2 linked regions of the Alligator mississippiensis genome follow. The protein of the gene in region 2 binds, or shares a complex with, the protein of the main gene of each other region. Links are inferred from orthologs where the notes say so. Each region holds a gene or a part of one and is shown on either strand. Other genes may lie near its edges. The genes, in order: VRK1 and PHF2.

Evidence for each region.
Region 1: the proteins of PHF2 (region 2) and VRK1 are in contact, whole or in part, in a crystal structure (PDB 8F8Y), measured with the Homo sapiens proteins. The link is inferred for Alligator mississippiensis from reciprocal best matches to the Homo sapiens genes PHF2 and VRK1. Residues at the interface, in NP_005383.3 of Homo sapiens: Tyr7, Tyr14, Val16, Thr17, Arg18, Phe19, Met20, Ile21, Glu22, Trp29, Glu39, Ala42, Ile45, Asp46, Tyr48, Lys64, Tyr145, Ser147, Glu150, Lys175, Val178, Asp179, Tyr182, Ser183, Thr184; in NP_003375.1 of Homo sapiens: Pro2, Arg3, Val4, Lys5, Ala6, Ala7, Gln8.

Annotation. Positions count from the first base shown.
Region 1 is NC_081825.1:279,886,912-279,903,343, reverse strand, and holds the start of VRK1 (serine/threonine-protein kinase VRK1), read right to left. Parts: upstream 5,920-16,432; 5' UTR 5,830-5,919; exon of another isoform or gene 5,822-5,829; intron 3,671-5,821; exon of another isoform or gene 3,625-3,670; intron 1,270-3,624; 5' UTR 1,265-1,269; coding exon 1,108-1,264; intron 1-1,107. UniProt on the Homo sapiens protein: Serine/threonine kinase involved in the regulation of key cellular processes including the cell cycle, nuclear condensation, transcription regulation, and DNA damage response.
Region 2 is NC_081835.1:26,667,208-26,683,245, reverse strand, and holds the start of PHF2 (lysine-specific demethylase PHF2), read right to left. Parts: upstream 6,800-16,038; 5' UTR 5,952-6,799; coding exon 5,854-5,951; intron 1-5,853. UniProt on the Homo sapiens protein: Lysine demethylase that demethylates both histones and non-histone proteins. Enzymatically inactive by itself, and becomes active following phosphorylation by PKA: forms a complex with ARID5B and mediates demethylation of methylated ARID5B.

The sequences.
Region 1 (16,432 bases), on a different chromosome or scaffold from region 2:
TAAATTTTGTATTTATGAGCTAAGTATCCTCTTAACAAAAAAATACCAGCATAAGACAGAACAAACATCAAATTACCATGGAGACTGAACTATCCATAGATAGGTCTGCTAAAGTAAGGGTTGAGACACTGGCAAGACAGCATAGTTATGTTTGAATTGCTGTGCCCATGCCATCAATCTGGCATCATCAACAACCACTAGAATTACTTCAGAAATGCTCCCTAAGAAGTAATTAAGTAAGAAAATAGAAGCCTGTCCACAAACATTTAAGTGATATTATAAAGGAACAAAATGGGTTATATATGAAGAACGTTACCAGTAAAGATTATAGCTAATCTGTCACATGAATTAGCTGAGGTTAAACCAGTGACTGGATGCCACAGTCCCCTGGTGTGTCTTGATATCCTTTTAGGGGTGATGCATACTGTAAGCTGTATAAATATGCCACACGAAAGGAATCCAGAGATTTGAAATAGCAATCCATAGTGTTAAAAACATTCAGACCTGTTGTGTTCTTTTCTGAGTTCTTTGCAACAGAAGAATTGCCGTATCATTTTATATAATCAAAAAAACAAGTGAAAACTAAAAGCTGGCATTTTCTGAAGGGCCTATCAATGGGTGCTTTGAACTTACTAAGGCAGTGGTTCCCAACCTTTTTAGACTGCGGACTGGGAAACCATAGACCAGCAAACTGCGGACCGGAAGTATAAAAAAGGGTTGGCTACTGGTCCGCAGTATGTCGGTCACTTCCAGACTTCCAATCCAGCAGCCAACCCTCCTGTGGACCGGCAGCCAACCCTTCATGACCCGGGGGTTGGGAACCTCTGTACTAAGGGCTTACTCAAATTTGAAAAGGTCAAGAACCACTGAATTAGACTAAGACTTGAGGGGTTTCCATATCACATACTCCTAACTATGCCTCAATGTCTTCTAATATTCTCATTTTACCTACACTTCTCCCTTTTGCAAGAAATAAAAATATTATGCTGCAGCTGACATACATAGCCTTCCTAAACTAGGAATTGTTGGGGTGGGGAAAGGATGAAGGGGAGGAGGCTTTAAGGACCCTCAACTTTAAAATGCTCTGTTTAGTACACACAAGCTTACCAAGATATAAACGTCCAAAGCCACCTTGCCCTATATGCATGCCTAATTTCCACTCTTTTTTTGATGTATCTGTTAACACCTCTCCTGGAGCAAATTCTTCTGCAAGCTTCCTCTTCGCAGGAGCTCTTTTTCCAGATGTCTTCTTTATATAAGGCATTTTCACTACAAAAAGTAATACAGGGTTATACACTGAGCAGATTTACTTTCACACTTTTATTCTACTCCATATGCCGGTTTTTATACTTTCTTTTCCTCATGACAGACTTCCACATAGTAACTATGAGTTGTTTAAACTGCCAAATTGTTACTACAAAAATTCTTTATGAATTTCTCAAAGTAATCCTGTCAGCATGGATTCTAGGTGAAAAAACAAGCAATTTCTTCAAGAATCAGGAAAAATGGCTCTAATGAAAGCAATTTTGTAGAAGAGATTTTTTTTTATTTGAAGGTTTTGCATAATTTGATACATGCTACAGAATTACAGCTATTCACATGATAATGCATTGTGATCCAACTATATGAAAAATATTTTACCTATATTGGTTTCCTTACAAGTAAAACTGTTGAATTCACTAATTTTTAATACAGCTTAAGTATTTAAAAAAATGGAATCTCAACTGTTCCACAAAAGAATGCACTCCCTCGTATTTCTCATTGACCATTATCTCAGCAGTTTAGTTTCTAATAACAATTTCACAAAAGATCAAATACCTGTCACCACAGTTAAAAATGTCAGAGAAGTGTTCTCTCACAATTATGTTCAACAAATATGAAAGTCCACTTATTGTTTCAGAGGATATTTAAAATAATCCAGAAACAACAGAGCTGCAATGTTCTTAGAGGATTCTGTCCATCTCTCCCCATCATCTCCAGGTACTTTTCCCCAGTCCGCAGATCCCTTTTCTGAATATCAAAATGCTTCTTTTCCCCTAAGACAGCTCTTCTGCCTTGCTAAGGCCTAAAGAACTCTCCTGGAAGGAAAGGCAAAAGATAGTTCCTACATGTGTAATTTTAGATAGTAGAGCCACATTTGAATATCCATAGAACATGTAAACCATGTCCAGCACAGATGAAAGTATGTAGTAGTCACGTTGAGGAAGGAAACAGGGGTATTTAATCTCTAAATTACTTCTAAAAAGGTTGTTAGGTATTACTGCACAAAACTATAGGATCTGAAACTGTCTAGAATTCATGAAATGCAATGATTTAACTCTAAACTGCTCTCCAAGATTCTCATAAAACAAAATTTTGTTTCAGATATAACTGGACAGCTGAGTCTCTTTACTCATCTTAAAACAGAAACAACATGTTATCCATAATTTTCAAATGATCCTTGTAAATGCTGTCTCTTAATACTTCAGTTTCTCTCTTCATTAGATTCAAATTTTCCCTCCATATTTTTAATTGTAGAAAAACAGAACTTGTGCTTTCTGCCCAAACTTAATCTCAAAAATAGCATGGCCAGTCTGAATGACAGAACGAGCTGCCCCAGGCACATAGAGCTATTGTGCTTACCTACAATTACATTCTCAACTTAAGAAAATACTTTATAGACTAATACTGGCACATTTTCTCCTGGGACAATGACAACTTCTTTGACCGCTTTCTACAAACTGGTAAAATGTATATATCATATATGATATATAACATTATATATCATATATACATATTAGCTTCATTCATGGAATATTATGGATGTATTTCATCTTGGTAATCTCATCATAATTCTGCTGCTGACAAGCCTGTTTGGAGGGGACAAAGCAGTTTATTTTGATTAGCTCCATGAGAATGACAGGTGAAGAGTGGTTCCCCTACCTCCAGTTTTACTTGTCCACCATACTCTCAGTCACATACCTAAATAGACTGTAAAGAACTGAATTTCTGATTAACATCCCCTTAAGCCACGGAAGTGAAAGCTAAGGATGGACAGTGAATATCGACACTTGGGAATCCTGCCCTTAAATAAACAAGATATTCATTCATAGTTTCTGGGATGCCCATGCTCACACCCGCTGCTAGGATGGCACCATGCCTACTCATAGGTTGGTCAACCTATCACTAGGCCACAGAAGCCAAGCAAAGATAATTTTAAATGGGCAGTGTGCAGAAAAGTAAGCATGTTGAAATGTTGCAAAATAACTGTCCTCTGTGGATGCAGTGGCTCATTTTGTATCGGAAAATGCAAGAATCCTTTATGGTACTAAAAACAGGAAGATTTGGGGATTGCATGCAGTTATACAAGAATAAGTGCAATGTAAAAAGAATGAAGAAGGTATGAAAAACATGTTAAACACAGCAGGAAGGGAAAGACCTTTTTATTTCTAGTTTTGTTATTCTATAACACTTTCTACCTAGAGACCAGCAAGTCTACCAAATAAGATGGATCATTGGCCTAAGCTCTCCACATTTAAAGCTCCTTACATGAGAACAACTACTACTCAACTTCTACTACTCAACTTGCTTATTCCTACTAACCACCAATATCTTTATATTTAAAAAATGACTGTCAGCCCATACCATCATAAAATGGTTTACAAACTTGGATGCAGAACTCATTCGCCTCCTGAAAAATACCACAGATATATTACAATACAATGCCAATAGCATTTTAGGGCAGAAAGCAAAGATGACAACAAAATGAAACTATGTTGGGAGATTTAGAAATAACTGAAGATAAATTACTTGAGCTAGAGTCACCATGATGCCAGCATTAACTGTACCTCTTGAACAACAGGTGCTCAGTTGAGGATATCAGAGCTCGCTCTCATCCAAACAATGTAATACCAGACTGCATCATAAATTTAGCACAGACTCAGCATCACCTGCTGAATTGGTCTGCACCACCTTCTGCAGCATCAGTGGTTGTGTTAGTTTATCATATCTCCCACCTCAAGGGAAAAGAGGCCTTATGGCAAAAGCACAGCATGTTGGGAAATGCAACCATTTATCTTCGTTTCATTTAAGGTTCACTTTCACCTTTCTTTGTCTCCATGATCAATAAATGGAAGTACTGCCTGTCTCAGAGGGATAGTGAGGGCTAATTCATTAGTGATTGCAAAAAGCATTGAAATCCTTGGTTATCTTAAGTACCAGAGATACTTGTCCCTCCTTAGTTATGTGACTAGACAAGAACATATTTTCAAGGTATATCATTGTAAACAGCAGCATTAATATGGCGGTGACCTGCTCTGGCCTTGAATAGCTTGAGAAGCATAGACTTTGCACCTAACAAATATGAACAAATTACAGCAGGAATCATGATTTGTTTAGTCCAGCCTTCTCAAACCCTCTTCTTTAGCGTACATGAAGAAAAGAAGTATTGAGTGTGCTATTTTGACGTATGCAGGCAATTCAGTATCAATAGTGCTATTAGTGAAGTTATCTTTATAAATGAAGCCTGGATTGGCATTCTTGCTGCTACTTTTTTGCTCTCAAAGCGAACTCCAGTAGACAATTCCCAATTGGTGTTTTCTTCCTTTCTCAATAGTCTAAAATGAATATAAATCAAATTTATTTTAAGGAGATATTTTTCCCCCGGGCGACAACTCAGGATGTTGAATTTCTCCCTGATCTGGTTCTTTTATCCTCTACAAATTGCTATTTTAGGCTTGTTTATCTCAGTTGGACTTCTTTCAGTTTTCAGCAGACAAGACCATGCTGCTGACCTGCTATCCTTTTAGTGAATAGACAGTCCCAGCAAGACCAGGAATCCACACGTCATCAATATTGTTCATAAAATCAAAGCAGAAATCTTCAAGTCTGATCGCAAACGCGCGCGTGTGCACGTTCACACACGTGCGCACACACACAAACAAAAAAGAAAAAAAGTTTCTAGAAACTTTAGACCCGTTTCTCATGTTTGGCATGACTTCCTTTTATTCCCCGCTGCCATTTCCCAAAATAGATGTAATTTTGCCCATTTTAAAGAAAGAGGTGCCAGCACAGCTACACCATCCTAGATATTTCCAGTGTCAACACAGAGTTATCACCAGGGATCCTGGGTTTCTCCAATTTAAAAAAAAAATCCTGCAATTTTAATTTTCAAAAAGTAACCCCAAGTCCACATTGTTCCATGATTTAAATGAAACACCGCTAATACGGAGACATATACATATTGTGGTGTTTCATTTTAATTACAGAAAAATGTGGATTTGGGGTTACTTTTTTTTTTTTTAAATAAAAAATTGGGGATTTTTTTTTTTTTAAACCAGGATCCCTGGTTATCACAGAGATAAACAATCTAAATTTTACAAGACACTTTTTGGCTTTCCCTCAGGCCACCTGGGATGTTGTTAATGCTGACGGTGAACCGGTTGGCAGCTGCCTCCCCCCCCGGGGCCTTGAGACATCCCCGTCCCTCGATACCTGCAACGGAGCTAAAAAGGGCGACGCCCAAATGGTGACCTACAAAATATTTTAATCGCGCCACAGAAAAAGCCTGGGCCACTTGGACACGGCCACGGCCGCTCCCTCGCGGGGAAGGGCCATTCATCGGAGCAGGCAGGCGCAGGCGGGGCGATCCCGCTCCGAGCAGGGCTTGGACTAGAGGCCCCCAGCCGGGCCGAAACCGGCTCCGCGCCTTCCACAGCCATCGAGCCCTTCCCCCATCCCCCATCCCCCGCGCGCAGCCCCCTGGCAGGCGAGGGCCAGGCCAGCCCCGCCGCCCGCCCGTCAGTCAGTCAGTCACACCACGGGCAGCCCGGCCCGTGCGCACCGCGGTACCTCCCGGCGACTCCGCCCGCGTCGTCCGAAATTCCCGCACTGCGCGCGCCCTGCGCCGCCCGCCCGCCGAGCCGCGCCCCCCCACTCCGTTGCCCTCTGCCATTGGCTGCCTCCCGCCGGCCCCCGCCTACCAGCACGCGGCGCTTCCCGCCGGCCACCGTCCGCGGCCCCAGTGCACGCTGGAAGCGGTAGTTTCCGGTCGTTCCGAAGCGCGTTGGCGCAGCGGTGAGGCTCGCTGGGGGGCCGTGTGCAAACACCCGCCGGGCTGGCGGCAGCCAATGGGAGGCGGCCTGCGGGCCTCGCTGCGCTGGGCCTCTGGAGCCCGGGTCAGTCGAGTCGCTGCGGTGGTCCGGGGCGTTTGGGCTCGGTGCGCTGCGCTCCCCACGGAATGCAGACACTGCCATAGGCAGGAGCCCGCCGCGCTCTGCGCCGGCCTCCCACTGCTCTTGCAGCAGAGGCCACGAGCCGGGCTGTGCCCGGGGACACGGCTGTGCGAGGGTTCCTGCTTTAGTGCGCTGCACGCACCGCACAGCAGAGCCTGGCACCCAGACCAGCCCCGCCCCCACCTGGCAGGCGGGCGCTCAGGAGATAGAAGGAAAAAGTAAAAGGGACTTGAGGGGAGACCCCTGCTTGGGGCCCAGGGACCTCCGCAGACTCCAGTCACGGTTGCCTGGCAGTCAAGTTTGCAGCCACCCTTTCTATGGAGAATGGAGCGAGGCCCGTGGTGCCCCACCGTCTTGGCCGGTGGGATGGATGGGCAGTGCCCGCCGTGGGTCCCAATCCAGCAGCCAGGGCGGTTGCAGAGGGGCCCCATCCAGCCATGTGGAAAGAGCTTGGCCTGGCTCTGATCCGAGCAGGGAGGGAGTGGGGCTGGCAGTATGGCTTGCTGTCTCCCCTGACACCAAATTTCCCAACTGGTTGGATACTCTGGGCCGGGGGGCAGCCCCCCCCCAGCAGGGAGCGGGGAGGTGGGTCTCAACCAGCCTGGGGTGTACGAGTTGGTTTGCCTCTGACCCACTAAAGGGATAATACGGCCCTGCCTGAGTTAGACTGTTCTCAGTGGTGGCAGATGACAGGACAAGGAGCAGTGGTCTCAAGTTGCAGCAAGGGGAGTTTAGGTTAGATATTGGGGAAAAAAACTCTCATGAGGAGAGTAGTAAAGCACTAGAAGAGGTCACCCAGAGACATTGTGGACTCTTCGTCCTTGGAGGTTTTTAAGACCCATGCTGACAAAGCCTTGGCTGGGATGATCTAGTTGAGGATGGTGCTGCTTTGAGCAGGCAATTGGATTAGATGACCTGCTGGGGTCCCTTCCAACCCTAATTTTCTATGATTTTAAATTCAACTGGTGGAATTTGCTGAGAGGACCAGCACCCTGCCAGCTGCAGCACTGAGCCCTGACTAGCTCCTGTCCAGACTTCAGGGCAAGAAGCAATACATGGTAGAGTCACAGGGCTTTGTGGGCAAGATGTGAGTGAACTTTGACTGTTCACAATATCCATAATGGCAGTTATGTCCCTCGCGCAGCCTTCATCTATACCAGGCCAAACAGCCTGCTCACTTGACATCCTACCACTAGGCTCTGTACTTGCATATGGATTAATTTCTTCAGTAACTGAAAGCAAAATAACCGAGCAACGTATATATTTTTTACTTTCTGCTGTTCTATAGTTACAGGAATTTTATATAACCCCTGTAGAAATTTAAAATAAAAAAAATCACTCTGGTAAATTTTGGGGGTTTCCTACTCAGAGAAACCTTTTCACTTAACCTTATATAAGTCTGGGTTTGTCATGTCTCCCTTTTTCAGTTCTACACAATATTCAAATCTTTATCTCAAATGATATTAAAATGGTTTACAGAATGTATACAGTTTGGTAGCTATTTTTGAGAGAGAAATACTAAAAACTAAGTTTGGATTTTCTGCCCTTTTCATAAATTGTTGCCTTTGAAGGGTCAGAACAGATTTTTCCCCTGTTGTTGGTTTTGTGTGAGTCAAATCTTTAAGTGTTGATTCACCTGTGAGCACTGATCCACTTGTCATGAGATCATTGCATTTCATTCTTTTGTTGTCAGATACAAATCAAAACACACCCACACTTGCTTCTGCCAAGCTGTGAACTTGGAAGAGATGTATAGTAGGAAGATCAGAATTCAAGGCAAGCCAAGGAGTTGGGGGAAGGGGGGAAGAAAACTACTTTGTTTTTTCAGCTCAGTAGTTCCTTAAGCAGAGGGATGTGATTTGATGGGCACTGTTTTCATGTTCTCCATTCACAGGGGGGGTGGGGTAAATGCAAAGATTAAAATAAGTTAAGAGCTATCAATACATAACATGTCCATCATGATTGTTCCCAGACATGTTTACTTTAAAAACCTAAGCTGATCCATATAATGTATTTCTGCTGCTTTTCAAGAACCTACACTATTCTGAATTGCAAAACTTATGGCCCACTTTACCTCCTCACAGAAAAGACACAGAAGAAGGTTAAAAGTGGAAGATGTTGCACACTAGTGCTTTGCCCCTGGCATCGTTCTCAAGCAGCTGATCAGGACTGGAAAAGAAATGGTGATGCAAATTATTTTCTTGAACTCAAGATGAAGCAAATGTTGCAAATCATTTCTATGAACAAGTATTTCAGTGACTACACTCTAGAGAGCTCTTACCAACATACACTAACTGGGTACCCAGGAAGGGGGATCTTAAACCTCATTTAAACAAATATAGCCAAAATAAGATAGCTCTTATTTCATTTCTTGATACTAATTCATAAGAATGGACCAATCGTAACAGTGCTAGCTTGCATGCTTAGGAGACCCAGGGTCAATTCCCTGTCTGTCACTGACATCCCATGGGACCTTGAACAAGGCAATTAGTCTCCCTCGTAGGGAACCCATAGAGGTAGTATGCTCATTGTGGGTCCCACCAGATTATTTGTTATCTGCACCCTCTAACACCATCAACACGGATATTACACAATATACACAAAAATTAATAGAATTCAACATTTTAGAGTAAAGATCCATTTAACCGGATGGTATTTGACACTGGAAAAGTAGAATTCACAATTCAGTGGGGGCTCCAGAGCAAGAGTACTAGGACTTAAGTGAAAACCTAGTCAGCTGAAGGGTACTTCCAAAAATACAAAAAGTAAATTATATTCTTCCACCTAGGAGTTTGACCTAAAATCATCACACTTCTTTTAGCATAAGAGCTGAGTAATTTCCCATTTTTCCCTGGGGCCAAAATCAGTTCTGCCTTCAAAGCAATAGCTTCTAGGTCTTAACATTATAGGCAACAAATAAGATTCTGTGAGTGGTCAGAACAATCATTTATGTCTGGTGTTTCCATACACTAATGGATATCTCTCTCTGGTTCAACCAAGCTGAAATGCTTTCCTTAAAGTTAATCAATCCATGGCTACAGTGGAAAGTGTTTCATACTTTAGCCAAATATCTGAAATAGCGACAAGTTTTATGGACCACTCCCGATACATCGTCAGTGTTACTTTTATTCTCACAAAGAAAGGAAGTACAGACCAAATGTAGTCAATATGTAAAGTTTGAGACGTATTTAACAACAGTCCTTCAGTAAAACGTTGATCACACCTTGTTTTTTAAACAGAGTTTAAAAACAATGTTAGACATTTTGGGGGGAGTTTGGTCTCTCTTCACATAGTCTTTCATTAGTTAACAAGGATTGAAAATGCTGAAAGAAAATCCCACATCCTGGAAGAAATGTACAGCCAAATGCATGTATGAGCCCATACATGTGGCCATGTAGGCCTTGCTGGGGTATGGATTAATACAACCATTGATTAGTGCATATACGAGTCACACAGAGGCCCTGCTAACAGTATGAACCAAAGTAGGCCTCATTAGAATAGAACTAGGCATACCATAAATAACTTGCATAGAAGTAACTTTGTTAGTTTTTACAGAAACTTTTCAAGGCTAGCAGAGAGTCAGAGAATTGATAAGACCATTACAGGTCACCAAAATAAAGATCAATGACCTAGACAACAGGTTTTCTTATCTGGTAGGAAGGAAACACTAATTGATGGATGGTGTTACCTAAAGATCTTTAAAAGAACAAGCACATGGATGCTGTAAACATTAAACTGTTTTGATCAGTGTATATAAAGGACCCAGGGAATCCCAAATGCTTTGTATTGGGCTTAGAGGTTGTGTCTCACCCATGCTATGACTGAAAAGAATCCAGCTAACCTAGACACAATGTTCAGTCTGGGCAATTATTTGGGCCTGAGGGCCACTTAGGGAGCTTTGGTAAGCTGTCATGAGCCAAGTCAGCACTAACCCCCCTTCCTCACCCCCCACCCCCACCCCCCTGCCTGCAACAACTCATGAAAATTCTTTATGTGGCTCTGATCCACGCTCGGCTAGGTAGCTGGAATGGGGCCGTGAGTGGGGTGGGAGCAGCATGCAGAAGTGGGACAGGTGTGTGGAGTCGGGATCATGGGGCTGTGACACCATGGGGCTGGGGCCCAGGGCAGAACCATGATCCGCTCCCTGCACACCCCTGCAACGAGCGCCAGTTCCATGTGCAGGGGCATGTGGGAACAGATCGCGGCTTTGCCCCAGGGGCGTGCAGGGAGCCCCGCACTGTCGCTGCCCCATGATCCCAGGGTCTCAACGGAGACTGGCTGGGACCTGTGCAGGCAGGGCATGCAGCCAAGCAGACAGGATGGGACCGCAGGTGGGTGGGGAGCTGTGTCTGGGAGTGGAACTGGTGGGCTGGGCTAAGTCTGGGATCTTGGGACAGTGATAGCACGAGGCCAAGGCAAAGCTGCAACCCATTCGCCACACACCCCTGCCCATGCAATCAGCGCCTGTCACAGGGAAATGCAGGCAGGATTGCAGCTCTGCCCCAGGCCCTGCCCCTGCACCTGTCAGCAACCTACAGTCCCAGCCCTGCACACCCATCCATCCTGGTCCTGGACACCACTCCCTGCCCACCCGCAGCCCCATCCCATCCCATCCGCCTTGCTGCTCACCCTGCCCGTGCAGGTCCCACCCCCAGCAGTGGGGGTGGGGTGGACAGGCCAGGATGCCCAGGTAGTGGAGCTGGGTTCAGCAGCTGTAGCCGCTGGAAGGAGTGGCTGCCACTGCGGTTGCCAGGAAGTGGGAGTCCAGCCACCACAATGCTCCAGCCCTGCTACCCAACCGGGAGCAGCAGGACCAGCCACACACACCACCAAGAGCTAGACGAAATCCCTTTGCAGGTCAGATCCATGAGCTGTACTTGCCCACCCCTGGGCTAGCACCATGCACCAGCTGGCTATGAACTGGCTGGCAATACTGGTGACTCTCCAGAGTCCTATAAACATAATTGAGAAAAAGACCAATTTAAGTATATATTTTAAATGCATACATATGTACAAGGTGGACTTAATATAGTGTTCAGCCAAAGGACTTTGAATTAGAGAATGGAACAGATGTTTGGCACCTAATAGAAACAACATTTTTATTTGCAGTGAATGCCAGAGAAGGCAGGGTTCAAATCCAGATTAGAAAATGGATTCACTGCCATTGAAATTCAGAATTAGGTTTTTTCCATGAAAAGCTGTTCTGTGGAGATCTAGCTCATCAACCAGCTACAGACTAGATCCCCAAAGCCACATGTCTAAGTTTAGATTAAAGGATTTCATCTCCCAAATACCAGTCCTTCCCCTACTCTCAAAAATTCAAAGGTGCTTGCTTGCATTTAATATGATAGATTTGGCATATCTTTAATCTTGCAATAATTAGAGTAAACTCATGCAAAAGGCATGGTTTTATAGTCCAAGAACAGGACTGAGAGCAGAAACACCAAAACACTGCCAACTTGGACAAGCTGATTAGTCTTTCTGCCTTCCTTTCCCTGCCTCTACAATGGAACAGTCTTATATTACTCACAAGAGTGTTGCAGTATTATCTACATAAAGGTAAAAGAAATACTGATATGCTGCTGTAACATGATTAAAATGGCTATGTATTTTATAGGACTATAATTGAAGCCAAAAACTTAGAGCCAAGAGCCTTGTGAGGAAACTGTAGTAGAGGTGAGTTTAAAGTAGTGAATCTAGATTTGCAAACTGAACATGGTGCCAATTCAGGGCCCTCTTGGAACATGTTACTTTGAGGCCATTAGTCTCCCAATGATGTGCAAGATGCGACCCTACATGTCGGGTATATTAATGCCAAAGCAAAATCTGGCATTTTTCTCTCCTTCCCATTTTACACAGTTTTCCTTGGTGGAGATGCACATAATACTTTTTTTATTAATTTTTAAAACTGCAATAACTATTATATAGGATGAGAGCAAAGGAGCCCTCCAGGGCCTTTTTTTTCCCTGGCCCATTAATATACACTTTATGAGTACTTAAGACAATCTGCCCAATAACCTCACGCCTCATGATGCACCCAAGGTATGCATTAACAGACCAGTATAATATCCTATTGGATCTGAGTGGTATTAAAAACTAGTTAGAAACAAAATTGTTCCTGCCACACATTTAGCGTTTTTTCACATGTCCTTTCATTAGCTGGAGCTAGCAAATTAGCCTAATTATTTCATTGGATTATATCTGAATTTAAATTTTTTTTGAAAAGCAAAGAACACCATAGGGTACTGTAGACACAGGACAAGGCACAGTTATGTAGAAATACCTAAGCTAATCCTCACCAAGTTAATTTGAGTACCAAAAGCAACATAACCACCTTAGCCCAGTTGAGGAGCTTGGCATATTAATCTGGATCAAGCTCTGCCCTAAAACAGCTGTATTTCTTCTGGCACCCAAGCTAGCTCAAGCAATCATTCTCCACACCAAGTAGATGTACCCACAGTTAACAATGATCAAAAATGGAGAAATTTACAACAATTCAATTTTTAACAACAATGCAGATTTCAGCGTCTCATCATGCCAATGCTCTTCACTAAGGAAGTAACAAAAGTTAATTTTCTGCAAGAAAAAGTTGTAGAAAATTCTTTAGCACCACCTGCTCCATCAAAGCCCTTTACAAATTTCAGCATTCCCACTAGAATAGTCAGATATTTTCCCATTTTATAGCTGAAAAGCTTAGAGATGATTTGCCCAAGATTTTAAAGAAAGACTGGTAGGGCTAGAAATAGGACCTACATTTCTTGACTCTAAATTCTATATGCTATCACAACATGAATACAATGACACACTTCATATTTAAGATGGCAATCTTATAGCTACTAAAGAATGTCTACCCAATTTTGGTTCCCATGAAAATGAAATGGCCTTTTCCAATAGATACATTGGTAGGTGGACCAACTGAGGTGTAAAGCAGGGAAAGAAAAACCTCCAGGTCTGCAGAAGGGGAACAGTATCCCTGCAGTATACTCTCCACCAATGTACACTCGTCACCAACTTCAGATGCAGAAAACTGCAAAAGACTTGCATGAGAAAGTATGTCCTGAGATCTGGCAGTAGAAGGTATACTCTTTCTGCAAAGTGACTTCCCTGCAGTAATGCATGCAAAATACAAGGCAAGTAGCAAATATTCTCCAGAACAGCAGACCGCAAGGACCAGTTGCAAGAATCAGAAAGGTTCCAGTGCTGGCCTTAATATTTGAGCAAAGACAGAATAAAGAAGCCACATACCTTTGTAGAAGGAATCCACCCTACTGAGAGGCAGAAGGGCATCTCTACTGCCTCTCCCTCCATCTAGATTTTTTTATTATACTCCTAGTGTCTGCACAGAATCTGCAAATGTAAAATGGTTCTGTGCTTCTACCAGTCATTTCTGTTCCACATTGGGCTAAAATTCTTGTTCTTGAACAGATATTGTAAGTATTGCAAGCTGAGGTGAATATTTTACATTACTGTGGACTCAGCACTTGGTACCATGGGGCTCCCGTAGTACATACCAAAACTTTTGCCTTGATGCTGGCTGCAGTTAATAGCTTAGTTTTAGGAGCTGCTTGAAAGAAAGGACTTCATAGCCAACTATTACGCATGCAAAAAACATTTTTCGAGAGAGAAATAACTAGACAAATTTAGTTAACGTAGAACGTTTTAAAGTTAAAATCCAGATTTCTTTTTGGTCTTTCCATGTGATTTTTTTTTGTGGAAGTGCACTAAATAATCAGCATAGTTGCATTATGGTGTTGAAGCAATATTTCCTAGAAAGGAATGCTAAAAACTGAGTAAAGATACAGACGAGTCAAATGTCAATTTGATAGATCTCAAAGATTCTGGGGAAAAAATATCTGCAAATCTTTCATGTATATCCCATTGGTGTGTACTTATTCTAGTATCTCTAGGAGGTCTATAGCTTGAAAAGGCCAGTTTCCAAAACTAGAACCAAACATTGCATCAATTTTCGTCACATAAGTTTAAAATATTGGTAATTCCCCCCATATGCGTACTCCAAGAGGCATAGTTCTCCCCTCACCTCTCAAACATTTGTTTTTTTGGCTGTATTCTTGACTATGTTGAAAATGTATGCAGTCTTAAGATTTTACTTCTTAAATTTGTATTGTTTTGGAAGGTTTTTGTAACTTTTTATCATTCAGTAATCTAAGTGTAAAATCTTTCTTTAGGGACTGCATTTTAAAATGGTGGGGTGGTTTATGCACCACGGTGGTGCCAGGAGCCATGGCAGGAGTTTTAATCCCTCAAAGTCACCTGAGCAGGATAGGCCAAAAGGGGATGGGTCAAACAAAGTCATCCTTTAGGCCACCACCTATTCTCATTGAATAAAGCAATAATAATAATAATAATAATAATAATAATGATATAGGAACAGAAAATCAGTACTGAGAGAAAACCTCTTCAGGTTTTAAGTAATACCTGAGAGCACAGCAAAAAATAAATTCAGATTCACAATTTAAAGTGATTTTAGAAATGGGTGAGGATTGATTGTTCATTTGACTTGCACTGGCTATGTTAAATTACAAAATATTTTAAAGAGGTGCTTAGTAAGTATAATATGGAAAGAGTGAGCATTTCATTTAAATAGCAAGTGAAATTCATCTTAAGGATTTCTTGTGGGGCTGAAGAGATCAGGTCAGATTGGCATAGTCTGAATTCAGTCAATTCTCACTCAGTAGAGAAATTCAGTGGACAGAGCATAATGGAAAGCAGAGAGCATCTAATGAACTGGTATTCCATTACCTAAAGTGATTTATACTGGTGAGACCAAAGCAATAATGTAGCTAAAAATAAATAAAGCATGAGAATAAAAAATGAGAAAGATGGGTTGGAATGACATTATTGTATCATCAAAATACTGGTGTGGAAAAGAAGCTATTGAGTCAGATGCTTTGAAAAGTTTCTCCTTTCCTGGGAGTGTGTGTGAAGCTCACAGGCAGATAATTTGAATATGTTAAAAGAAATAATTTTAACTAACTTGAGCCTTCTAAGACTGGAGTCTGTTTGAAGCCTACTAAATTAATCCAAATTAAAGGGCTTTTGTGAGTTTCTAAAGGGCTCATATGTTTATTTTGGTTGTGGTCCAATATTCATATGGGTGGAGCAGCACTTTCTTCTTCCTTTCAACTGCCTCAAGATAAAGTGTATTCACCCATCTTAGTTAGGGTATGTATTTATAGGTACATATACACTATATATAGGAAATACCAAATATGTATACAAAATATATTGTTCTGTACAGTTGTTTGTGTCTATACTGAGTCTTCCTGTAATGATACAAAGAACTTCTGTTTATCTTCAAACATTTCATATATCCCATTACATGCGAAAGAATTATTATCTATCCTGTTGCAGTGCAACACTTTTTCCTATAATGGAATTTTACTCTGAAAATTTATTTTGGTATTAAAAGGTTCCACTTTATAATGTCTACAGTTCAATCAGTGATCTAAAAGGCACTTAAATGCTTTGAACAAGATACATAAAACGCTTTTATTGCAAAAGCTTTGCTGTATCTACCAATTTTACCATTGATCTCTTTCCATGTAAGGCAGTTCTGGAAGCTGCCCATGCTGTATAAAATCACATGGTAGCTTTTGATCTCCTGCTGGTGATTAAAGCACATTATGGAGGTTTGAAATTTTCTTGTGGCCATTAGCATACCTCTAAACAGTTCTCTATTAAATGGTACTGGTGTTCTTAGTACATGCTATTTAAATAAGAAACCAGGAATCTATAAACTTATTATTTGCTCTCCTTTGTAGCTCAGAGGATGCAGATCTCTTGAATGAAGTGAGTTTGGTCTTAGCAGTAAGCTTACTGATCTAATAGTGATCTCCCGAGGTAATGAGGTTTGAACAAAATGCAGTGAAAAATGAAAATGTATATTTTTTAACCCTCCTTTGATACAAGCAGGTATGACCCCACACTTTGTAAGACCTTATATAAATACAGTCATATCCTCACTCCTACAGCTGCTACATAAGGATTTCATCACAAGCTATCTGGGTATTGTAAGGCTTTGTTGTATGCATTTCATTCAGCAAACTGAAATTGATATAGTCTTATTCCTTCCCAGTTTTTAAATATACTGGGAAGAACTATAACTATTACCCCATATTTGTCATCTTTCCTAACAATCCCTTTGAGCAGACCTCTGCATTTGTTTCTATATATCTGCACTTTATTATGTTTTTAATATT
Region 2 (16,038 bases):
GGGTGCCCTAGTGAACAGTTGTTCACCGAGCCCTTATGTAGCGGTAAGCCACTACCAAGTCCCCCTCAGCCTTCTCTTTTTCAGGCTAGAGTCCCAGGTCCCTCAGCCTTTCCTCATATGGCTTGCTATGTAAGACTCTGATCATATAAGTGGCCCTTCTCTGGACTCTCAAGCTTTACCATGTCCTTGTTAAAGTGCGGCCAGCTCCCAGAATCAGTCTATACACATGTACTACATATTATAGAGACAGAGAAAAAAAGAGAGAATAAATGTATATACTACTTTTATTAATAACAAACTGATTCAAAGGAGTCTTGATATCATGACTGACTTTGCAATGACTCTAGAAGTATTGTAATACCAATAAGCAAGTTTAATAGCTGGATGCTTTCCAGTGATTACGCCTCCTTCCACAACTTAGAAATCTGTAGTTAAAACTTGTCAGTAAAAGTACCTTAACTGATCCCAGCTGCAGCAAAACAGCGCAGGAAAAAAGACTTTCCCTAAGGTAGACATGTTCCAAATTATGAATAGCTCCAGATACTAGAACCAACACCTGTCGTCGACCCTGGAAGCCGCTGGGGCGCCTGCACAGAGTTCACAAAGCACAGGTGTTCGGTGTTCTGCCTACACCCTCTCCACCAAGTTGATCCACCACCACATTCTCCAGTATCTTAAGGTTCCAAGTGACTGTCAGTGATCACTGCAGACAGAGCATATTATAATAAATTCACAGTTTAAGATCAGAACATATCATGCTGATCAACTAGCCTGTGTAACAAATGCCAACGAGATGTCTCTGATGTAAGTCTTGTTACGAACTTTTGGGAAAACGTCCATTATTGAAGTAAAAATTGCCAGTGATGGAGAGTCTACCACAACCCTTGTACTGAGATGTGGAGGTGACTGTGACATATTAAAGAAAGGTTATAACTGCTTAATTAACCACAGGCAAGAAAACAACATGAGCTACCACTACTAACAAGGAAAGCACAAACACTTGAGAACTGAAAATAATTCCAAGAGAGAGAATCTCTTAGGCAAAGGACATATATCCTCCATTAATAAAAAGACCAGTCAAAACCCTTATGAGCTGAGAGCATTGTTTTCCATAGCCAACAGGTATCTCCTCTATCATTTCTGGACTGTTTCCACAAGTTTGTTCTGGAAGAGCAAAGAAAATTACAGTATTCAGGCACAAGCTAATGAGAATCCACCTGCATATTGGTAACCCGCATCTCCAAGAAGTTGCTAGATATGGGTTCTATCAACACATATCTCAGAACATTTGATAAACAAAGGGCCTTCCACAAGATCCAAATATGGAACCAGATATGAGAGAGCTCACAGCAAATGCCTACCTACCCAACACAGCTCTCTGAAATCTCTCCAAAAGGAAACAATGGAAGTAATGAATAAAAATTCCACCTACCATTTTCAGAACCTACCGACATATCTGCAACGTAATGTTGACAATGTTATCAAAGCCATACATCTAACAAAATCAACATGGACTACTTTTACCCATCATCAGGAGCTTACCAACCAACAGTATTAACGCAGTCACTTTACTATACTCTGCCCTAAAACCAAAATGGGAAATAAAAGGAATCCTACTGAAATGCAACCTTTCCTGTAATTGGAAAGTTTGAGACATGGCAATAAATGACAGCCAAAAAGTTTTTCAAAACTTCTGGAGTAATGACTTCTAGAGAAATCAGGAAATTATCTGACTCATCTCTGCAGCAACAGAATAGATATTGTGGAATTAAAGAAATCAGTTAGACTTTCCCTTTTAGAAATGAGAATGCCTTGATAGATTTTTTTGTATACTTATTGGTTATAAAAAAATGCAACAAGAAACTTCTGAAAAGCCATCTCTCTTCTGTTCTGTCATTCCTGATACTCCTCTCCTCTGGCATAAATACAGTCTTTTTATTCTCTCCTTTTAAAGAAGACCCATCCTTCTCCCAGCCCCATGTTATTTTACAGACCACCTTTGAACCTTTCCTTTTGAGGCTATTTCTATTTAAGACCATTACATCTGAAAACAGTTTTCAAGGTTAGGACATGGAATCAGTTTATATGATGTTGTTATAGACCTACTATTAAATTCTATCACTTTCTAATGTAACCAAGGACTCCTTATTTGACCAGATATCTTCCCTGAGCTCTCCACAGAAGAGCAAATATCATTTCCTAGGGAATCATAGCCTTCAAAACACATCAACACAGGCAAAGTAACTAGTCCTTTCTTGTGTGCTTAGCTTACACTTTTGTTAATTTACCATCATGCTGTCTTATAACCTTGTTTTTCAGGTGCTCCTTGAGTGCCTCTAAATTCTCCTTAGTTTTGTCTAAATATGTTTCATCTCCATCTCATGCCTCTTACAAATCTTTAATAAATAGATGCAACAGTCTAGGCATTTGCCTACTGCATTTTCTTAGAACACCCTGCCGTTAACGTTTTTCAATCCAAGAACTGGCCATTCATTGACATGCCTTACTTCATATTGCTGGAACACTTTTTAAAGTCTTTACCTCTCATCTCTCAGCAAGTTTCTAAAACAGCCTCTTGTGAGGAAGTTTACTGAAAACCTTTTAATTCTTATAAACAATCTCCACTCAGTCTCTATTATTCCACTTCAGGACTGGTCTGGTCCCATGAACTTCAGTGACAGCAAAAACAGACATTTAGCCTGCTCATACTTATCCCTTTTATCTACTATTTTGTGAGAATTCTTCTAAACCATTCACAGTAGAGCCTTACAGAACATACAGTACACCTTTATAGGACACTAATCAGGCAGCAGTCATATAGAGTTTAATAACAATCTTTAAATGGTTTTCCTACTGTTTTTCCTGATACTGAAGTATGCTTTTTATTTGCAAGATTAATTTAGTACCATTGTATAGGTGCAACATTAATTGTTCTTCAAGTCTTTGGTACCTGCTTTTAATGATAAATTGTGCATGTTTAGGGCCCACTCCTGAGGTCATTAATTATTTTTTACTGTATTTACTGATAAAAACTCCTTACTGATTTCAGTCAAAGTTTGCCTAAGTAAAGATGGAGTAACAAGTGCATAAGAACCTCCAGACTTGGTATTTAGCACCAAATCCTTCTCTGTCACACCAACATAAATCCAAAGCATCTGCACTGAAGTCAGTGGAATTTCTTGAGATTTTACACCTGTGTGAGTCTCTCTTACACAAATACAGTCTGGGGAATGACCTGCTAGGCTGCAGTACTGGATTTTACAGAAGACCATAAGCTGAATATGACCCAACAGTGTGCTCTTGTTGCAAAAAAGGCCAACAGTAGTGTTGGTTGCATTAACAGGAGTGTCACTTGTAAATTGAAGGAAGTTATTCTTCCACTCTACTCAACATTGGCAAGGCCTCACCTGGAGTACTGTTTGGTCCCCACATTTCAGAAGGATGTGGACAACTTGGAAAGAGTCCATCAGAGAGCAACAAAAATTATTAGAGGCCTGGAAAACATGACTTGCAAAAAAGGCTGAAAGAGTTAGGGTTATTTAGTCTGGAGAAATGAAGACTGAGGGGTGGGATTTGATAACAGTCTTCAAATACCTGAAGGAAAATTACAGAGCGGATGGAGATGTGGCTGTAGGGGACAGGACTAAGACCAAGCTTGTGCAGGGGGAATTTAGGCTGGACATGAGGAGGACCTTTCTGACTGTGAGGGTGGTCAAGCACTGGAACAGGCTCCTGAGAGAGGCTGTGGAATCTCTATCCTTGGAAATTTTCAAGAGCAGGCTGGACAGACACTTGGCTGGGATGATCCTGCCTTAGCAGGGGGTTGGACTAGATGATCTTGTGAGGTCTGGTCCAGCCCTATGTCCCTATGAACCTATAATAAGTCACTCAACTCTGTTCTTTAATTCATCTAGAACTAACAGATGAATAACATCTAGTCCTGGTGATTGAATGGATCTTAATTTCACTTCTTTTTGATACTTCTCTCTCTCACAGTGCCTAACCTTTACAACTTACGAAGTAGGTAAATCACTGTGAAGTAGGTAATTCTCCATCATGCTCTTTCATGAGGACAAAAGCAAAGAAAACTTCTTTGCCATTTCCTTTTCCTCTTTGATGTTTGCCTTTACACCCTGGTGGTCTAGTAGCAATACTGACACACTTGAAGGCTCTATAGACTATTGTGGATAAACCTGTAAGTGTATCATTGGTCTGTTCCTTTCTTAGATTTCCTTGTGATTTGATTATCACCTACCAAAGACACTTTCTCTTAACAAGCATATTTTGAGTCAATGTTTTTTGAAATACTAAAGTTCTGATAACTAACGAGCCACTGGCCCCTTGACTACTAGATGCTTCCCTGGCCTTGGAGGTATGTTGAACTGGTGCACGCAAACCTAGGCCCCTAACAAGTTTACGTTAAAGAAACCTTCAAGGTAACTCTATGAATGTTACTCTATTTGCTGCCTTAACCTACTTTCTCTTCACACTGTTTTTTAACTAACTTCCTTGTTTCTCAAAGAAAAAATCCCTTGTCCTTCAAGTTCAGGGCGGACACAGGAAAAGCACAGCCACATTCACTTTCTGTACCACTGGGTTAGTGAGGCAGGAGCCAAAAGGAGAAGTCCCTCCCTTTGTCTGCTCCAGCTGACCTCCCCCCGCAACACCTCTCCCCCGCCCCAGCCGCCCAGGTGTGGCCTCGGCCTCTTCCCACCTGAACGGCCCCGAGCCCCCGAAAGGCTCCGGCCGGGCGAGCCCGGCGCCGCGCGGTGACAGCAGGGGCTGCCGGCGAGGCGGCCACAGACCGCGCTGCCACACGGCGCCGCGACAAAGGAGCGAGCCATTGTACTGGGGAGCTGGGCTCGGCAGCGGCCGCGCCGCCAACCGGGCCTGCGGGCTGGGCTGGGCTGGGCTGGGCTGGGCTGGCCCGGCCGCGCGCTGGGGTCCGGCTGGGAGCACTCGCCCGCCTCGGCCGGCCCGAAAGCGCGGGGAACCATCCGGGGAGGAAGGGAGGGAGCGTGTGCGTGTGTGCAAGGGCGAGTCGGCTGGAGTGTGTGTGCGTGTGTGTGTGTGTGTGTGTGTGTGCGTGCAAGGGCGAGTCGGCGGCGGCGCCCTCGCCCACCATTACAGCGCGCTCAGGCTGGGCGGGCTCCCGCCGCGCCGAGCCGTGCCGTGCCGCGCCGCGCCGCGCCGCGCCGCGCCGGGGGTGTCTCCGCGGGGGGACAAGCCCGGCCCGCAGTGCCCCGGCGGGGTCTCCCCCTTCCCCGCGCGGGCTCCGCGCCCCCGAGGCGCCCGCAGCCCGGATCCCCGCCATGGCCCTGCCGGGCCCGGCCCCGCTCGGCGCCTGTCAGCCGGGAAACACCCAGCTCGGCGCAGGCCAGGCCAGGCCGGGGCGGCCAGCGCGAGCCGAGACACCGGCCCGGGTGTCAGCTCGGTGACAGGCTGCGGAGCCCCCGCCGCCGCCTCTCCGGCCCCGGACACCGCGCCCCGGCCCCGTCCCCGCCCCGCCGAGGACAATAGCCCCCCGGGGACACCCGAGCCCGGCGCCGCGGGGCCGCGGTCGGGGCGGGGGGCAGGGGCCACATTGTCAAAACAAAACAAAACGCCGCGCACAAAAAAAGAAAGGGAGAAAAAGAGAAATAAGGAGAGCGGCGAGGAGCGGGCGGCCGTGGCTCCTCCTCCTCCTCTCCAAAAAGGCCTGTTGGAAAACTGCACGGAGCAGCGGCTCCAGCCCCACCATCTCGCTCTGCCCTGGAGAGAAACGCAGCGAAAGGCGCCGAGCGAGCGGGGGGACCGCGGCGAAACGGGGCGGGGGGGCGCGGGGGCGAAAAGGGCCCGATCGCTTTGTGTTACCTGCCGTGAAACCAGTCCTTGCAGGCATCGCATTCAATCATGAAGCGGGTTACGTCGTAAGGCAGCCGACAGATGCAATAGACGGGCACCGTCGCCATGTTAGCTCCCTTCAAAACAACGCCGGGCTCCCAGGCAGGCGAGCTGGCCTCGCGGCGGCTCCTGCCGCTCGGTAGCTGCCGGCTTCTCCTTCCCAAACGCCAGCAAATTTGCAACGCGGAGAGTCGGGGGAGGGGAGAAGGGGGGGGGAGACAGAGAGAAGGGGGGGATCAGATAATGCAATTACGGCTCCTCAAGGGCGAGCGGTAGCAATGTCAGAAAAATCGGAAAGGGCTTCCCAAAGTTTGGCTGCATGGCTCCTCCGCTAGCCCCGGCCGGCCCGGGGCTCTCTTTTGGGGGTGGTTGTTGTTGTGAAATGATTATTATTCCAAATGTTTGGCGGCACGCATGATATTGCATGCCCCCTGGTGACAGTACAGTACCGAGGCTTTTCATAAACACTCCGAAATGTAGCCTTTTCCTTGTAATGTCCTTACGTCAGCTCGCAACATGGTAATATTTCCTCTGCCGGGGCCGGGGGGGCTGCGGAGAGGCAGGCGAAGCCGGAGCGAGTCCCGGGCGCGCGGTGGGGAGCGGAGCGGAGCGGAGCGGGGCTGGGCGCGGCGGGGAGCCGGCACGGGGCGGAGGAGGGAGATTTAAAACAGCGGCGCGGGGAGCAGCTCCGGGCCCGGGGGCTCCCCCGCCCCGCCACGGCGGCGGCAGCGCAGATTTTGCAAGAGCGGCTTTAAAATGGATGTCCCCGTTAACGGCTCCCGGCGCGGGGGCTCGGCAGGGCGCTGGGCTGACAAAGCCCCACGGCGGGAGGCTCCGGAAAAGACGCGAAGGGCCGGATGGGGGAAACGCACCGCTTTAGGGACGGGGGTTTCTTTTCTTTTCTTTTCCTTTTTTTTTTTTTTTCCTTTTTTTTAAAGCCCTCGTTTCTGGAGCTGCGCCCTGCGGAGGGAAGCGGGAGGGGCCCGCACGGCCCGGTCCATATTTCCCGGGGAAATGGCCCTGCGGCGGGGCGGCGCACGCCTCCGCGGAGACGCAAACTTTCGAGGCGGCTCGGGTCTCGCCCGCGCCCGTGCTGCCCCCTCCCCGCACGGGGGGGCTTTGGTCCGCTTTTCACTGTGCCCGGAACTGACAGGCAGGGTAAGGGGAATCAAGCTTTCAGTCGTGATACGCGGGTGCTTCCTTTCACTCCGCATTGCTTGTTGTTCCGCGAGCTTACTCGCTAACACGACAATAAAACGTGTCTCCTCTGGTCGGTTTCTGTTTGAACCGGATGTGACACCCAAAGCAGTGTTGTTATTCCCAACAAACCCTGGCCCCTACGCCCGAGCTGGTTGCTGGATCAAACTTTTTTTTTTTTAAACCATCACCTGTCACTTGTTCGCTGTAATTTACCGCTCAAGTCAGGCTTAATTTATCCAAATTGTCATCAACGTTTGTTCAGAGCTACAAAAATATTTTCCAGCGTGGTCAAGAGCACCGATTTCTAATAGAATATATATTCATAGTGAAGCAAAAATGTGTGCGCATGTGGGTACGCATATAAATATATCATAATTATAGGTGACTGTATGTATATAAGCATACACACAAACATATCATTTTAAATGTAACATAAAATAAGGTTTGTGTTTAGATCTTAACAATCAACTCTATAGTTGTGAAAGATGGCTAAACTCTAAAGTAACACAGTAAGAACATAAACTAAAGGTTTAAAGCAGGGCCGGACACAGGCCTGGGCAAACTGGGTGGTTGCCATGGGCCTGGACAAACAGGGGGTCCCAAAATGGTAATTTAAAAATTATTATTATCATTACTGCTGGCAAAGGGGGGCCGATACTAAAAGTTCACCCAGGTCTGCCAGGAGTCTAGGCACGGCGCTGCTGTAAAGAATTAGGGTGCTCTGAGCCAGTGCTTCTCAAACTATCTGATGTGGTGGACCAGCAATTTTTTTTCCAGTGGGCCAGGGATCAGTGCCCAGTTCAGCCGGTGGCAACAACTGTGCGCAACAGCGCTACACAAATGCGCAACCGGCTGTTTCTTTCTTTCCTCACCTCACACGACGTGATGTCACCTGGAGTGTTGGAACGTACGAACTGTGGCGCTATGACATATCAATGTTATGCTTCTGAAAATATCTCTCTTTCTTTCCTGGCAACTCGCTGCAGACCAGCGAATGTATTTCTTTCTTTCCTGGCAATTCTCTGCGGACCGAGGACCAGTGGCTTGCGGACCAGCACCAGTCTGCGGACCACCACTTTGAGAAGCACTGATCTAAGCAACATGGGCATTAGATGCATTAATATATATATATTTTAAGCATATAAAAAGGTATTTTCTTATTTGATGAATCTTTTAATAGATTATTTGCTTTAAAGCTCCCAAAGCAAGTCTATCTTATGTTACACATTAGATATGGAGTGAGTAGGTCTGAAGAAATGGAAGTGAATGCACTGTGCCATAGGAAATGCCAAATCAAAGCTGTAAGATACTAGGCATGTTTTGCTAGGTGTCACTTAGGAGTACAAAACGTGTACAGAATGACCTTTAGGGATGTAAGGGAAATTCAGGTGTACAGTGAAATCTAGCTTTAGGCCTCTCTGTAGAGGTACCAAAAAGACTGTTGTTCCTACTGGTGGGACCTGTCCACAGGGATTACAGCGAGACTGCCAACTTCTTTTATATAGGTCGCTAAACTGTCATACAATAGCAATGACTTTCAGTCACTACCATGTTGGTCTACACTTGAACCAGAATTAGAGATGAACGTCTCTGTAATGGCCAGCCATCCACTTGTCTTGTTTCATTTGATATAGCTGACCTTTTAAATAATACTTACAAGCAGAAATCCTATTTCACAATGACTTTTACTTTATACATTCCATACACACTACAGACTGAGATTAGTAAGGTTGTAGTCTACCAAGGGGACTAATATAGGCCTACATTTTGACAAGCACTTGGTGAATTTGAGTTACTCAAATTTAGGGGACTGATTTTTCACATCCTGCCAATTATCTCTCTCCTAAAATTCAAGCCCCCTGTAGGATAACTCAAGGGTACTACAAAAAATTATTGGCACTTTAAAAACTTAAAAGGAGAAAAGCTTAAAGTGCCCCAGCCAGAAATATGGGAGACCAAGTCTAGGAGATAAAGCAGTGGAAATAAAAGATCCAGGAAAACATTTCAACATCTTGCCAAAATGTAAAGTAGGGAATCCTTCCACTGACAGGTAGTATGGATTATCCTTGAACAAATCTTAGTAAAGAAAGATAAAAATGTCCTTAATCCTAATGGCTTTAGCAAAATATCATCATCAACAACCTTCACAGTTGAGGATGATTGCCTTCTATGATTGCCTTATCTGTGGGTCTGAAGATGGCTGACAAGGTCAATCCAGGAACAACAGGTTCTCTTGAATTCAGGAATGTATTTTCTTGTGCAACAGGTGGCTCCGTATTCTTGATTCAGTCCTCAATACTGTTTCTGCTGGTCCCGCTTTTCTGTCTCCTGCTGTTGTCATGAGGTTTCAAAGTACTAAGATCCGTGCAGCAGATACTTCCTCCATTTGGGGTGATCCTGGGAAACAGCCCCCCACAAGTTGATGTCAATGTTGCATTTTTTCAAGTTGGCCTGGAGGACATCCTTGAAGTGCTTTCTCTGCTCTCCAGTTGGTCATATGCCTTGACTAAGCTGGGAGAATAAAACTTGCTGCAGGAGTTTGGAGTCAGACATCCAGATGATATGGCTAGCCCAGCAAAGTTGATGTCAGATGATCATCGCCTTGATGCTCGTGGTGTGTGTTTGCAAGGGACTGCTAAGGTTGGCATGTCCATCTTCCCATTGGAGTCAAAGGATCATCCACAGGCAATACACCATACATTCATGCATTTCCTGCGCTGCTACCTTGAACCTCAAGAAGCAGGAAAGCGGGGGGGGGGGTTGACCCTGGGAGATCCTGGGGTCAAAAAAAACCGGGCAGAAAAGAAGCAGGGTGGTACACTTGACTGCAGCATGTGGTGCTCAAAACTGGAGCCTGGCCTGCTGGAGCCATGCTCTGGCTGTCAGCCAGGCTCCAAGCTGTAGGAGTGCCATGGCTGCCGCTTCCCCAGCCCCCAAGATCCTAGGCACAGTTGCTGGCCCCAGCCTCCCCTATTCTACCCAGGGTAACCTGATGCATGCCAAAGGGTGCATAACATGGGCGTTCCCTTGGGACAAGTAGCAGTGGTACAAGGTGTGCCACTGCTTCTTGTCCATGGGGAACCAAACATCTGCACGTCTGGACATGGCCCATAGGTGTTTTTGCCATTTTGTTTCCCCTTGAGCCTGCTACCTGCTTTTACAAAATGTGAGAGATCTACTTTCTGATGAAACACACAATAACTAAATCTGACAGCGACTATTTCAGGATAGTTAGTGTGTGAAAAATAAGTATTTGATCATGTACAAGAAGCAGTTCTCTTCTAATATATGGGCCTGAGCTCACTCCCAGTGAAGACAATGGCAGTTTCCCTAGTGATTCTCATGGGAGAAGGGCTGAGCCCCAAATGTGTAAGTAGGCCAAACAGTCTGTCTCTGCAGGGAGTCAAGTCAGTAGTTCTACTGCTTTAACTAGGAGCCCCATGCGTGCGAGATGTGGCAATACTTTCCAAGCAATACCATTCACCAGCCAAAGTAACCAGATGTTTATGTTAAAAAAGCAATTTCATGTGAAATAGTTAATGGTGGTAAATAGATTAACTGTTAAACTGAAATCATTAGGCCTCAGAGTGTGGAATGAATAGGGCAGTTCACATCAATTCTAATGATGCCCACTTGCAGAATCTATCAGGAAGTGCTGCATCAATTCACTTTCAAAAACTTAATTGAGCAATCCAGGGCATGGCACAATTTTAGAATAAATCTTAAAATTAAATTTGAATTGTAATTAAATATTATTTTGTTCTCATTTAATCTGATCTATATAGAATAATATAATATCACCTAATTAAAAGACAACTCCTGTAACTTAACCTTATCACAAAGGGGTAAATCACTAAGTCACCACATGCATCATTGCACTTCTATTTATTCCAGGAATGTACATTCTGCTACTCTCATGCACTCACACTCCCTTTTTACTAATTTCAGAACTCGGATAAAAAAGAAAAAGTTAGCTGGTTCAGTTTGATGATGGGGGTTGCTCCATTTAATCTTTTCACCAGTGCTCAGTTTTGATTTGAGCAATGTGGAACTAAGGAAAAGTGATGATGATAGTATTCTCCACTCTGTATGTCCTTTAGGGGAGGCTATTATCTCATGATGGCCACAACAGATGATGACAGGCCACAACAGATGATGCATGATACAGCCAAGATATATATTCAATTCATGCAGAGTTTACATCTTTCTGTACTATATTTACTGGGTTTAATTTCAGAATATAAAAGAACAATTATCCTAGATTCTAGGCACTCCTGACATCCTTAAAAACAGTTCAACAATACAACCACTCCTTTCTCTGCAAACCAGCAACCTCTCTGCAAGAAGCCAGTCCACACAGCTCAAATTCATTTCTAATAATTTGGTATCGCCTCAAATCTTTCTGCATATTTTAACTACATCAGTAAAACTCAGGGAGATATGAGGCTTCCCAGGTAGGCAAATGCACCTGAAAATAACCCTGTACACCAACAGTTAGTCCACATCACAGAACTGGAATCAGGATGGCTTATGGCAGAAGGCTCTTATTTAACAAGTGAATCACCATATTCTGCACTAGCTTCAATTTCCAAAAAAAAAAATTAATTAAAAGCAAATGCAGGTAGAGCTCAGGGCAACAGGCTAACCTTGAGCAAAAAAGGCACGGATCATTCAAGGTACAAGGCCATTAATTTATGACCAAATGCAGATTGAGCTGGTCAGTGGTGATATAAAAGCACCTAGTCTACTAGTGCTCTGCAAAGAACGGATTCACCTTCCGTTAGAACTGCCAATATAATCTACTCAATATTCCGCAGAGGGTTCCTCAGCCTACCAGGATCACCTTGATTTTCTGTGGACAGAGCCACATTCATCTCAGTCTCACCCCAGATTTCAAAGTTGCTACCATAAAGTAACAAAGACGTTGAACTGCACCCTCTAACCTGGATGAAATGGGTGCTATAAATGTATACAGCAGTTAAAATGTATTCTGTAAATGTACCCTACAGTAGGAAAGAGGATGGTTGGCTTTAGGAGAAGTAACTTCTCCATGGGGTTGTATTTATCTGTTAATGAGCCTCAATGCTGCAAGATACATTTAGGCGAAACACTCACCAACTTCAGAGCAATTTGGTATAAGATAGGACTGCAGACATGGGCTTCCCATTTGCATATTGCTAGCATATGTTTATTGACTAGTATATGTACATTTGAGATTTCACTCCTGTATTTCAATAGCCCCTATTTTAATGTAAATATATATTTATTTGTCATTCTGTGTACATGCATTCACAGATGAGCCGTTCACCATGTCAAGTTCCATGCTTTGTTCCAGTTTCCAGATACTTTGGAAGTTGCTTGAGCCAGACCCATATGATTTGTGAAAAATTCTATCCTTACTTACTTTATTTCACTTCCGCCTGTTTCTCAGGGTAAGCAACCCCATTTCCAAAGCACTGCCTAAGACTCTACTGTCAACACATCTCCACTTCTGCCACTAGTGAGCAAGGCCTATTTAATACTGAAGGGACTTTGGCAACAACAACAAAGATAAACTGTGAACTTAGTGTTCCAGCCAGGTGATGCAAGAACCTGAGAGATGTTTGCCTGGAATTTCAACAAACAACACAAATGGATACACATTCCATGAATCATTTATCTAGGGATTAACTGCCTCTAAGTTTCAGTCTGGAGCCAGAAGCCAGATGGAAAGGATATCTAGTAGTTCTGTACATAAACCCAGAATCCATATCTAGGGAATGTTTGGCTGCTGTCAGTCTCAGTGGAAGGAGTGGTATCATTCAGGTGTGACATCTTAATTATTATAAAGTGCATCTGAGTGTTAACCACTTCTTCATACTTCTGGAGCAAAGCATATGCATTGAAAACACAATCGGCAGAATAAATCGCAACAGATACCCACAGAACATAGTCATGCCAAATTAAGTCTCTGTGGGTGTCTAACAGAAAGACGTATACTAGAAATAGGTTTTACATGCTAACACAGTATGGCTCTGCATCCCTCTGTAGTAGCTACATCACATGTAAAGGTTTATAAACAAAGGTTACATAAACCTGCAATTGTCTTTGAGCTCATGGATCTAAGTGGGATTTTCAGATATATTTAAGTGATGTAGGACCAACAGTCCCATTGCCTAGGCCTTCCTAGGCTACTTGGGCACTTCAGAAAATCCCATCCAAAATCCTTGAGCCTGAGCAGGTTTATTTTTAGAAGCTGAAGTCCCAGGTTCAATCTGCATAGATAAACCACAGCCCGAGGTGGCTGTTACAAGAACAAACTGTCACCTGGGAGTTTCCTGATTTTTTAGTACAGTTTCTAGATGCAGGGTTTACCCCTGTTCTGGTGTATATATTAATCCTCATTTTTTTTATAACCCCCTTTTGACATATTCTGTGGGTTTTCACATTAGTCTGATGAATTAATTTATTTGTCCTTTTTCTATCTGGTTCTGCTTTTAGGAAAAAATAAGGAAGCAGTCTAGTGCATCAAACTTGAAACAGGTCACAAGGCTTAAAGAATTTGAGAGGGGTGAGTTGGTGGTGGCACCACCCATCTTTTCCCATTTTCCCTTCTGAATGTCAGATACTCTATTTCTTTGTTACATTTTACTCTTGGCCAGGGACAGCACAGAAAGTCATGCTAAATTTGTTTTTTTAACTAGACAAGGTTCCTTGGGTGAATTTGATATCTTTTATTAGACCAACCTAAATGGTTGGAGAATAGTTATTAAGCAAGCTTTCGGGTTCAAAAACCCTTTGTCAGGCTAAGGAAGCTGCAGCAGTTGGTGTGTGCTCTTTAGCAGTTGAGGGCAGAGTGGCACTGTAGGCTTTGGGGCTGAAATTCCATATGTTCCCAGGATTACCATGCCCCAAAACATCAAGAAGCAAAATAGAGAAGTAAATAGAAAGTGCAGGAAAAAACATACTTCGTTAAACCATGAATTCTTCTTATAAAAAGAATCTTACAAAAAAATGGAAACTTGCTAATGTTACTAAGCAGGAGTATAAGAATACTGTGCCCAAGCATGTAGGGAAAAATTAGCATGGTCAAGGCACAAACAGATCCCACTAGCAAAGGACATAGATTTCATAGATTTCATAGACATTAGGGCTGGAAGGGACCTCGGAAGATCATCGAGTCCAGCCCCCCGCCCAAAGGGCAGGACGTCAGCTGGGGTCATAGGATCCCAGCAAGATAAGCATCCCGTTTCATCTTGAAGGTGTTCAATGAAGGCGCTTGAACAACCTCCGGTGGCAGGCTGTTCCAGACCTTGGGGGCTCGGACAGTAAAGAAATTCTTCCTTATGTCCAGCCTGAAACGATCTTGTAGTAGTTTGTGACCATTCGACCTCGTCATCCCTTGGGGCGCTCTGGGGAACAAACGTTCCCCCAGATACTGGTGGTCACCCCTGATAAACTTATAGGTGGCCATCAGATCACCCCTGAGCCTGCGCTTTTCCAGGCTAAAAAGCCCCAGGGCTCTCAGCCTGTCATCGTAGGGTCTGCTTCCCTGACCTCTGATCATGCGCGTGGCTCTTCTCTGGACTCTCTCAAGCTTCTCCACATCCTTTTTGAATTGTGGAGCCCAAAACTGGACGCAGTACTCCAGCTGCGGCCTCACTAAGGCCGAGTACAGGGGGAGAATGACGTCCCGGGATTTGCTTGAGAAGCATCTATGGATGCAAGCAAGCGTTTTGGTCGCTTTACTAGCCGCAGCATCGCATTGCAGGCTCATGTTCATCTTGTGGTCAATGATGACCCCCAAGTCTCTTTCTTCCATAGTGCTAACCAACATAGCACTGCCGAGCCTATAAGGATGCTGCGGGTTTTTTTTCCCAAGGTGGAGAACCTTGCATTTATCGGCGTTGAACACCATCAGATTCTCATCCGCCCACTTGCTGAGCCTGTCCAGGTCAGCCTGGATCATCCGCCTGTCTTCTGGTGTGGATGCTTTGCCCCAAAGTTTGGTGTCATCGGCGAACTTGGCCAGTCCGCTTCTGACTCCAGTGTCCACATCGTTAATGAAGATGTTGAACAGTATGGGTCCAAGGACAGAGCCCTGGGGGACCCCACTGGTCACAGGACACCACGATGAGTGACTTCCATCAATTACTACCCTCTGGGTCCGACCCCGGAGCCAATTTTCCAGCCAGTGGATCGTGGGGGACCCAAGGCGACAATTGGCCAGTTTCTCCAAGAGACGATCATGGGACACCAGATCGAAGGCTTTTTTGAAGTCAAGATATATGACATCAATCTCATCTCCCTTGTCCAGGTGATAGGTCACCTGGTCGTAGAAGGAAATGAGATTGGTCAAGCAAGACCTACCCGCAACAAACCCGTGCTGGCTATCCCTTAAAATGTTGGCGTCGGCCAGTCCATTAAGGATGGCCTCCTTAATAAACTTTTCTAAGATCTTCCCCAGGATAGAAGTCAGGCTGATGGGCCTATAGTTAGCCGGATCCACTTTCCTCCCTTTCTTGAAGATAGGCACCACGTTGGCCTTCTTCCAGTCTTCGGGCACTACACCAGAGCGCCAAGAGTTTTCAAAGATCCGCGCTAGAGGCTGGGCTATGATGCTTGCCAGCTCCTTGAGTACCCTGGGGTGAAGATTGTCAGGGCCGGCTGACTTGAAGGTATCCAGCTTCTCAAGATGTTCCTTCACAAAGTCAGCATTAATGGAGGGCAGGGGATCACCCTCACCCGGACTTCCCGGCCCTGTAGCGGGCACGGGCGTCCCATGGGGCTGATGAAAGACCGACGCAAAGTACCTATTTAATAGGTTGGCTTTTTCCTGGGCGTCAGTTGTCAGTTGCCCCATCTGGTTCAGCAGGGGTCCAACGTTGCCCCTGCTTTTCCTCCGGCTCCCCACATATCTGAAAAAGGACTTTTTATTGCCCTTGATGCTCAAAGCTAGCTGGAGTTCAGTTGCAG